Linked DNA regions of Drosophila melanogaster. The protein of the gene in region 1 purifies or fractionates together with the protein of each later gene. This does not show direct contact. Each region holds a gene or a part of one and is shown in the gene's direction. Other genes may lie near its edges. The genes, in order: PCNA and SuUR.

Region 1 (3,816 bases):
GCGATTCACCACTGGACATATTCGTACAATTTAGATGACGCCAACACGTAAACAGATTAGAAATATAACAAACTTCACGTATACTCCGCACTAAAACGTTCCGGCTTCCGTGTTTTCTTTTATTTTGTGGTTGATGTGAAAATTAAAGTCGAATCGGAAATCCGTTCCGGCAGGGAACGCTGCTAAGCTTACTTCTTCTTGGACACACCCACGGTGCGACCACGACGACCGGTGGTCTTGGTGTGCTGGCCACGCACACGGAGGCCCCAGTAGTGACGCAGACCACGGTGGGAGCGGATCTTCTTCAGACGCTCCAGATCGTCACGCAGCTTCGAGTCCAAGTTGGAGGAGGTCAGCTGCCAGTACTTGCCATCGATGATGTCCTTCTGCCTGTTGAGGAACCAGTTGGGCACCTTGTACTGCAGAGGGTTCGAGATGATGGTCACCACCTTGTCGACCTGCAAACATGGCATTTAGGTTGGTGTGCGTCTCGAACGGATTGGGCGTGCTCAACTTACCTCCTCCTCGGTGCACTCACCGGCGCGCTTGGTAAGATCGACATCGGCCTTCTTCAGCACAATGTTGGAGTAGCGGCGACCCACTCCCTTGATGGCGGTCATGGCGATGCCAACCTTGCGCTTGCCGTCGATGTTCGTATTCATGATACGCAGGATGTGCTGGAACTTCTCTGGGATGACGAGCGACTGCAAGAATGCAAAGAAAAAACATTAGTATAATGCATATAAACCACGCCATTTTTGCCAACAGCTAACGGCATTTGCAATTCACTATAAATTTGTCGTTTGGCGCTCAGAATCGCACATATTTGAGGTAACTCACCATTTTGCCGTTTGTATTCTCGTATTTACTCCTCACTGTAAAGAATTAAGAGGTATTTTGTTTTAGAATTTTGGAAAAATCAAATGGGCAGCACACCACTCACCGGAAACGGGAAAAGAAAAGAAGGCCGAATTAATGTGGCTGCCTGAGGCGGAGTAAAAAACCTAAAATTGCCTGCCACGTTCGGGACGCGTGCTGTTAATAGTTCGCCGTGTGCTGTTAGGCGCACTCTGGTCCATCACTAATGCAAATTTAAAAATTCAAAAGGCGCCGAACTTTTGTTCAATGAAAATGCTTAAAGTGCCATTTAGATATGCTCTGTGTGCACATTTAAAAAATTAAACTTCATATTTTATGTTTCTTTATATTTTATATTTTATTCCCCACATTTCGTAATACGTTTTATCGTACTGCATCCCTAGAGCACCGTTATATGAAAGCTTTTCAGAATGGGTGAAATAAATGGTAAATTATATTAGCTATGCGAATTTCCAATATTGATAAAAATGCATTGCATTTAAGCACTCAGCTGCGTTGGACAGGACGATGTCGTTTCCCTGCGCATCGTGTGCACCATGGCTCGCGACGGCAAGCAGCACAACCTCGAGGATGTGGACATGTACGGGAATACCGCCCTATTGAAGGCCTGCTATTTGGGTCGATTTGAGTGCGCTCGTACGCTGCTGGAATTCGGTGCAAATATCTTTGCTATGAACTATTTTGGTCAAAATGCCCTGACACTGGCCACTTATGCTGGGCATTTGACTTTAGTAAAGGAACTGTTGAGGCGAAGATCCTACAAGGATTTCAATCTGTCCTCGATGATCCCGGCCCTCTGTGTGGCTACACTGCAAAAACACTCCGCTTTGGTGGCCTATTTTACTCAATTGGATTCGAGGGGCGTGCAAGAAACTCAAACAGTGCATGGTTAGTAAAAATCAAGTGTATTTATATAGTAACATTAAAGTAAATTTATTTCAGGTCTGGGAGTTGCAGAGCTGCGAGGAATGATTAAAGCTGCAGGCCGCTTAGATAAGCGCAATGTGCGCTCTCCTCCCACTTTTATTAGCAATCGTCTGCGTTAATGTATTGTCATTTTGTAATAATTTATTAATTTTAATGTTTGAAATAAATATACTCTGTAAAAAGTGTGAACATAATATGTTAATCAAACCAGTTGGCAGGCCGCTCGCTGGCTGCTATCGATAGATTCAGTCGATATCGCCCGTGGCTTTTCACATCCCTATCCCGCTCATTTAGCCCGCCTGAAAGTAAAAAAAAAAAACAGCCCACGTTAATCATTCATCCCAAAGTCACAGCCGCGGTAACATTACTGCTGTTAAATTCTTAAGCCCGTCATCAGTATTTAAATAATAAAACACATTCAATATGTTCGAGGCACGCCTGGGTCAAGCCACCATCCTGAAGAAGATCTTGGATGCCATCAAGGATCTGCTCAATGAGGCAACCTTCGATTGCAGCGACTCCGGCATTCAGGTAAAAATTGCACAAAAAAGATTTTAAATGCATATCCCTAACACCTTGTTCAACTTACAGCTACAGGCCATGGACAACTCCCATGTGTCGCTTGTCTCGCTGACCCTGCGTTCCGATGGCTTCGACAAGTTTCGCTGCGACCGCAATCTCTCCATGGGCATGAATCTGGGCAGCATGGCCAAGATTCTGAAATGCGCCAACAACGAGGACAATGTGACGATGAAGGCGCAGGATAACGCCGACACTGTCACCATCATGTTCGAATCGGCTAACCAGGAGAAGGTATCGGACTACGAGATGAAACTGATGAACCTCGACCAGGAGCACCTGGGCATACCGGAGACAGACTTCTCGTGCGTGGTCCGCATGCCGGCCATGGAGTTCGCTCGCATCTGCCGCGATCTGGCGCAGTTCAGCGAATCCGTTGTGATCTGCTGCACCAAGGAGGGCGTCAAGTTCTCGGCCAGCGGCGATGTGGGCACCGCCAACATTAAGCTAGCCCAAACCGGCTCTGTCGACAAGGAGGAGGAGGCGGTGATCATCGAGATGCAGGAGCCGGTGACGCTGACATTTGCCTGTCGCTACCTGAACGCCTTCACAAAGGCGACGCCATTGTCCACCCAAGTGCAGCTGTCGATGTGCGCAGATGTTCCGCTGGTAGTCGAGTATGCGATCAAGGATCTGGGTCACATTCGCTACTACCTGGCACCCAAGATCGAGGACAACGAGACATAAGTCAGCTGTGTTCCTCATATTTATGTCCCCGCATCGTCACCACTCATCTTCCCACGTTCACTTCATTCCTAACTTTTAAGTAAATCCGCATTTTTTGATCAATAAAAGCTATACTGTGTAATGTTAACTGGCTGAGTTGTACAATTGATTTTAGGGCGTAATAACCATTTATTCGCATTCCATATATAACACTGGGTATCGTTTAAGGAGAGAGAGATTGCAAACATATACATATTAAGAGTAGTGGTTTATCAAACACCTTGGCGTGGGATAGACAAAAAACCTTGGCATATCTCCGACATTGAAGTTTGTTAGCCTCCGCAGCTGCAGAAAATCTGGACATACCATTGGGGAGTTCTAAATCAAGGGTAATAATGGGCGATTATTCTATTCACTGTGTATAAGTACTCGTTCCGTATGAGGCACATAGTCGGGAGTTTTGCAACAAAGAGCTTTAAGCGAGTGTGTGCCTGCATTCAAGAGCATTAATCGTATGTAAATACATGTAATAAATAATGCGTGTTTACACGCTTCCAATACTTGCATACTTGGCTTGCTTATGCTAGAAGCTACATACATACGTATCCTATACTTAGTTTGTGAGTATATAAAACATAGAAAGCTGTGTCATATAAAATTGTATAAAAAAAACCTTTGAGATTACATATACGTAGTAATAAAAAGCAAGAAAGTGCGTATAACAATGAACAATTCAAATTGTTCCTGCGCATAACAAAATTCGAT
Region 2 (6,534 bases), on another chromosome or scaffold:
TTGCTCTCCTCTGAAGAGCTATCTTCTTCCATAGCTTCCTCTTCATAAAATTCTTCAAGCTGTGCATCGCAGAGTTTAGTTAAATCCTCAATTTGCGTCTTGGTGTATGGAGGATCTGCGAGCGGTAATAATCTAAGAAAATGTCAATCTTATTAATCCAAAAGCAAGTAAACCCAAAAAAAAATGTATACCTACCCTTTTAGAATGGGCGCTGAGTAATTGCTAAATGCATCAACACGCTGCATAATAAAATCACGATCAAAAATCAAAGACCTGGACTTTTTGGGATTGTCGCCAAAAATAAGGGTAACCGAGAGATCGGCATTTGAGTGTACTAACAGACTGCGCATTGTCTTAGAAATTTTATCCGTGTTTAGGGTGGCAAAGTCCGCTGGTTTTAGTTTATCGTTCTGGAAAATAAAGAATATTTTAGTGTTTTCATCGTTAACACACTCCGTATTTATACTAACCAAATCCAGTTCGGCTTTGTACATGCGCTTCATACGGAACAGCATCCCAAATGTTTCCAACATTTTCTTTGCCCAGTAGCTGGCTCCCAGACGCCTTTGCTCCGACTCGTTTTGGTTTTCACTCAGTTGAACTAGGGCCAAAAAAACCTTCTCGATATATCCCTGCACGGCCAATAGACGGAAGAGTCCCTGTGTGGCTGCAATGATGACATCCTCGTTGTCGTCGATTTCCAAGCCAACGCCAAGGAAGTATTTCATTTTAAGCAGGCATTTTGTATATATGTCCAGCAGATCCTTCATCGATGATGACTCCTTTTTGACCAACGCACTTAGATCACCTAACACAGCACTCAGAATTTCTTTCGATGTCTTCGCCTTCTTGCTGGAGGAGTAGACTCGTATCTTATTGAATTCACCACTGGATTTTAGCTTGCTAATGGCCTTTAGTTTCTCAGCCCCCTTGATATGGCACTCCAGGGTTAGATCGTAGATCTCCAGAAGATCTGTCACAGCCTTTTCAAACTTAAGCTTGTCCTTGCGATGCAGTTTGCCAGCATCCAAATTGGACATGGTTTCCATGTGTGGCAACCAGTAGTAGGTGCGCAGCCACTCCAGACAATGATTCGAGGTGTTTCTCAGCACCTCCACAGGCGGCAGCTCCTGTCCATGGGCGCACAAGTGGCGCAGATCAACGATGAACGACTGGAGGCCCAGTTCCTTGGCCGTTTCATACATGCTGGACATGTTGTGTCCCTGGATAATGGAGGACATAAAGTTGTAGAATCGTGTAAAGGCACTGGCATAGGTGTCCTGTATTTTGGCGCTGCCCTCCTGGTCCTCCAAGTGCGCCTGAACAAGCACCGATGTGGCCAAAACCGCTGCCGGGCAGAGACTTCCTCTTCGCAGACACCAAATGCGGATTTTACTGAGCGCTTGACGCCATGTGGCTGGTGTGTTGGACTTGCCAAACAACCATTTGTACGTTGTATTAAATTCCAGCCTGAAAATGTAATGTTTTTATCAACGGATTGGATTTGTTTCCACTTTTTGTCTACGCACGTGTCTCGCCAAGGAGTGACCACAGTTCGTTGTTTTACATTTGGTGGCGGTGTGACAGGAACAACTTTGGCTTTCTGCTGTTTTCCCTTTTCAGGGCTTTTCTTTTTTGCCTCAAATTTTTCCTTCTTTGCAACAGCCATGGCAATTTGGTCTGAATAAATTTAAACAAATTCCATGCGAAACAAACCGCAAACGAAATCACAACAGTTGCAACAGTGATGAGCTAAATGCAGCTATAAAAATGAATTCCTTACACAAGTTTTGAGTTGGCAGAATAAATAATTTAATTTAAAAACATTTTACTCGCCAAAGGTTTCCAACCTAATGTATTTTACTAATCCTTGTCGGTTCAGTAAGTTTTTTTTAATATTTTGCTATTAATCAAGAGCAGTATCTCTTTTGGCTATTTCTAGACATTGCTTCGTTTGCCAACACTACCAACGTCCAACAGCTGATCGCGCCAACAAGACGCAGCCGGTTCTGTGTGAATGGTGAAATAGAATTGGAGCCAAAAATAATATTTTCTTCTTGTTCGATTGTTAAGCCTTTTCCCGCGCCCCCGCCATGACTAACAGCGCTTAACCCAATTTCCCAAAAGGGACGAAAATTGTCCTCCGAAAAAATTGAAGCTTAACTAGTTTCAACACATGTACGAGATCCAACATCCTGTTATCATCAACAACAACTACAACGTGGTGGACATACTGCATCCGGAGAATATCGAATTCGATGGGCCGTCTGCGGCGCGAAAGATGATAATTGGTTCATTTTCGATGTTCGTGATCTTCTCGTACCTGCAACTATTCTACATCCTGGTTGCCATCTATCTGGCCCTGCATCACGCACACCATTGATTCGAATTCTCTGAAGGATCATGTATCACTTTGTATCCGAGCAAACGCCGGAGGTGCGGCTCACAGATGAGGCACTGGTCACGAGCCACGTGACGCAGTACCTCAAGAGCTTTCAACTGGATGCCGTCCGCTTCGTCTACGATCGTTTGGCTAAGCGGGAATTCTGCATCCTGAATGATGAGAGTGGCCTTGGAAAGGTCGCTACGGTGGCGGCACTTCTAAGTGCCCTACCACCCGCCAAAAAAACACTTGTGGTGCTCCAGAACGATGAGCAACTGCTCACCGGTTGGCGATTCCATTTGGACACTCTCACTGACCTCCAGGTGTACATCATTCAGGGGGTGCAAGGTAATGCCTAATATTTAAATGGATTTGTTGATAAGAATGTTATCGTAATTTCACATTATTGCCATTTAAAAATTAAACTTCAACACCTTCACTTTCTGCCTTTACAGATACCACCGACTCCCCGCACAGCGTTTACCTGGCGAAATGGAGCCAACTACGGAGCATTGGAGATCTCAGTCGCCTCAAGTTCGACTACATTATGGTGGATAATCGGGGGCATTCGCTGAACAACAGCTTTTGCACTTCCATGCTGCTGAAGCAATTCGAGGGACGGGTAAACGTTCTTATCTCCAGTGTTGACGTTACGGTGAGGCAATGCATTCATAATATGGTTTATATCATTTTAGCTTATGTGGTTTCTCTCTCTCTGCAGTCCGACGTTAGGTTGCTCTACAATGTTCTACGGTTGGGCGGCCGACTGGAGCATCAGTACAAAAGCTTTGCGAGCTTCGATCGAAAATTCCATCTGCCAGATCCGAAGGAGGTATTCAGTAAGCGCATAGATCTCGAGGAATACTACAAGCAGCGGGGATTCCTCAGCGAGTACATCAAGTAGGTGAACCAGCAACGATCAGTTTCACTGTTGCATAAGACCGGAATAGTCAGTTGCATATGAAAATAACTTATATAATTTGTAGGGACTTTCGTCTGCGTCGTTTTCGTCATCAATTCGACAAGTCACTGCCACTTGTCGCACCGGAGCAATACAAACACAATCTGAATCTCTGGTTGGCCTCAAAGAACAGCCAGAGCACAATAAGCGGCTCAGATGTGTGCTCTACAATCGCTTCCATAGACAACAATCCGGCTCAGCAAAATAAAACTGGGCTCTTTGAAGAAACGGATAGGTTATCCGAGCACAGCGTGGATGATGTGGCAATGTCACCGCTGATATTCGAGTATTCCGAGTCTGACGATGAACCCCTAACAGTAGAACCTGATGCAGATCAAAACCCGGTATTAGTTGTATCCAGCGATGATTGTGAGATTGTAACACCTCCAAGTACTCCGCAAAATCGAACGCCCTCATTAAATGAATCACCAAGGACGAAATCAAAGAAAAAATTTAGCAAAAAAACGTCACCGCGCAAAAAAGCTGATCTCACCGATTCCGAAGAGGATGATGAAGCGACCGATAATATGCCGCCAAGGAAGAGAACTCGTGCAGCCACCGTTCATCTGACACCTAAGACAAGGAGACTCAATGTTCGAATTTTAAGGGTTTCCCTCGATACTCTGAGCACACCACCACCGTCCAGAACCACTACTGCGATCGTAACGCCCAAAACGGAGCCCACAGCTAGAAGAAAAAATCTGAAAAAGCGCACGGTGAGCCCAGTGGATGTGGGTCGTCCAGCCACAAGGGGAATGCAGCGCCTAACACGATCCGCTGAAACAAAAATAAACAGTAAGTACTTGAAACATCGCTCATTGGATGATGTCAAGCGTAGCTTTCCAAGGAGAGTCAAGTTGGAGGGTAACCAAACGCCCAGAAGTAGCAAACAAATAGTGAAGCAGGAGCCTAAGTCTAAAGTCGGGCAGGAAAAGAAACAGAAGACGGTGGATGTACCTGCTCAAGGAACTGCGAAACGAAAGCCTGGACGTCCGAGAAAATGCCAAACCAAGACTGAAGATTTGGGGAAGACAAAGACTAAGCCGAATTCAAAGCACTTGCCACCTACTCCTCAAGTTCTCAGTGGTAGCTCGTTGTCCTCGGAGTACATGCAATGTGCTCAGCGAATACCAGACAATTTGGATGCCATTGAGTCGCCCGCTTTTCGTGTGCCCTTTACACCTCAACAAACTCCAATGCTTCTAACCTTGCCGTCTACACACAATTTGCTCAACGATTCTGAGGTGGTGTCTATTCCGCTTTACAAAGATCCAGTTGAGACAGTGGTGATCAATAGCTCGCACGATGAGTGTTCTCCGCAGGATCCATCGCAGAGTCGTCGCACCAAGGCTTTGAAAAGAAAACGCAAACCCGTGACGTCCGTCAATTCAAGTTTCGGCGGCGGATTGGGTCTACCACCGGCCAAGAGGAGTGCCAACAAATCTCCAGATCTATTTAGCATATCCTCGGAACACTCGCAGATTCCGCTGGCGCAACCAAGACCCTCATCGCCCTTCGAAGGCTTTAAGATCTTTGGCTCTGAGGTGAAGCAGTTTCAGCAGCAGCTAGCGAAAGTAAATATATCGGTGCCAAAAAAGAAGCGAGATCGCTCGTGTTTGGATATCCTGGAGCAAATGTTCGAGCCACGACAACAGCAGTCGGCTAAAACTAGTCCCAAAGTCTTGCCAACCTTGCCACTGACCCAGAAGGATGATGCAGAGTCTACCATTACGCAGAGAAGAAGAACCCTGCTGGAAGATGACTTCTTTGAGATAACGAACAATGGCCAATTTGGCAGTCGCATGCGATTGAACTCCTCTGGCGAAGTATCGCCCGTGCAACCGGATCAACAGTCCGTCAGGCCGTCGCAGGCCAATAAAATCACCAATTATTTGATAGGTTCTGGAATTACGCAGGAGCGAACGCAACCTTCGAATGGTAATCGCAATTCCATTCTTGCATCGCTGCGCAAGTCACCCAAATCTCCCAAACAGGGTGCTAAATCCACTCAGGCCACGAAACTAACACGCTGGTTTGGCTCCGTCTTCGGCGGTGGAGCCTCACAGACCAGCTCCGTGGAATCGGTTAGTGCACCAAGTACGCCGGTGAATTCATCCACAAGTGCAGCAGCTTGTCAAACGCGATCGGCGAGAAGTGGTGGAGCATCAGGACCGACCAAAAGAAAGCGATTGGAACTGTTCAAGTGATGAACAGCAATCAATGAAAATGACAAAAACCAAATCAAATCAAATCCAATTATTGAATATATAATGAATGAAGGAATATATAACATATAGTACGAAATCAAAAGTTAACAGCATCCAAATATGAGGTTGTAAAATCAAATTGCACAGGACCGTCTAGCTAATTTAGTTAAAATTATACTTTGTGTGCGCATTTTGAAGAGTAAGGTTACCATAAAATTGAAAAGACACTGCATAATATTGTATGCGTATCTTGTAAGTAGATATAATTGGTAAATTATTAGTTCACAAGTTTATCTAGTTTCTCAATTCATTTTCCAAAATGTGCCACCTGATTTAGACGTGTTTTTTTTTTTTTAAATTATTTCAATACGCATTCAAAGTGTATTCAACAATTTTAAAGTAACGAAAGATATCGTTTTTAGAAGCAAGTACCGTGTAATTTTGTATCATCGTTAAATAAACACAGGGTTTACATTTAAAAACAAAGTATTGTGTGTGTTTTTTTTTTATTAGGAATTAAGATTATTGGTAGGTAAGTCAATTAGTTGTTTGCACATATGATTTAAATTTGAACTAGATCCTGGTATGCTATCCTCTCTGTTTTCCGAATATTATCGTTAAGTTGTGCATCACCGCCTGGCGCTGGAACTCCAGTTCCCGCCTACACATGCCGCCCAAGAGTGGTGGACACTGATACTGGATGTTCTCCTGGGCAAAGGTATCACCATTGGAGTTTCTGAACGTGAATTCACTCAGTGATTGTACTGCAATAGAGATTCATTTACGATTAGCGAGGGCATTCATATCACTTCCGTCTTATCTTACGGCAATAGAATCCGGCAAAGAAGCAAGTCTGATGCGTGGACTTAATGGCATAGGCCACGGGCGATACTCCGGGTAATGACTTGGTGACCACGTACTTGGCCGTAGCCGTATTCAGCCAGTATGGCCAATGGGATAGTCGCTCTGTGTACTGCACCGTG

What was found.
Region 2: the proteins of PCNA (region 1) and SuUR purify together in Drosophila melanogaster (affinity purification with western blotting; one study listed by BioGRID). This does not show direct contact.

The regions. Positions count from the first base shown.
Region 1 is NT_033778.4:20,261,135-20,264,950, reverse strand, and holds PCNA (proliferating cell nuclear antigen), read left to right. Parts: upstream 1-2,067; 5' UTR 2,068-2,229; coding exon 2,230-2,337; intron 2,338-2,397; coding exon 2,398-3,072; 3' UTR 3,073-3,197; downstream 3,198-3,816. Other genes in the region: CG8908 (uncharacterized protein), read right to left, coding at 1-19; RpS18 (ribosomal protein S18), read right to left, coding at 189-458, 519-704, 841-843; plu (plutonium), read left to right, coding at 1,290-1,305, 1,363-1,767, 1,822-1,925. UniProt on the Drosophila melanogaster protein: Likely to be an auxiliary protein of DNA polymerase delta complex and is probably involved in the control of DNA replication and repair by increasing the polymerase's processibility.
Region 2 is NT_037436.4:11,062,992-11,069,525, forward strand, and holds SuUR (suppressor of Under-Replication), read left to right. Parts: upstream 1-1,999; 5' UTR 2,000-2,176; coding exon of another isoform or gene 2,177-2,383; 5' UTR 2,384-2,403; coding exon 2,404-2,731; intron 2,732-2,838; coding exon 2,839-3,038; intron 3,039-3,104; coding exon 3,105-3,283; intron 3,284-3,369; coding exon 3,370-5,551; 3' UTR 5,552-6,034; downstream 6,035-6,534. Other genes in the region: CG32075 (uncharacterized protein), read right to left, coding at 1-132, 196-410, 471-1,470, 1,530-1,669; CG45101 (uncharacterized protein), read left to right, coding at 2,177-2,383; CG6310 (uncharacterized protein), read right to left, coding at 6,140-6,315, 6,377-6,534.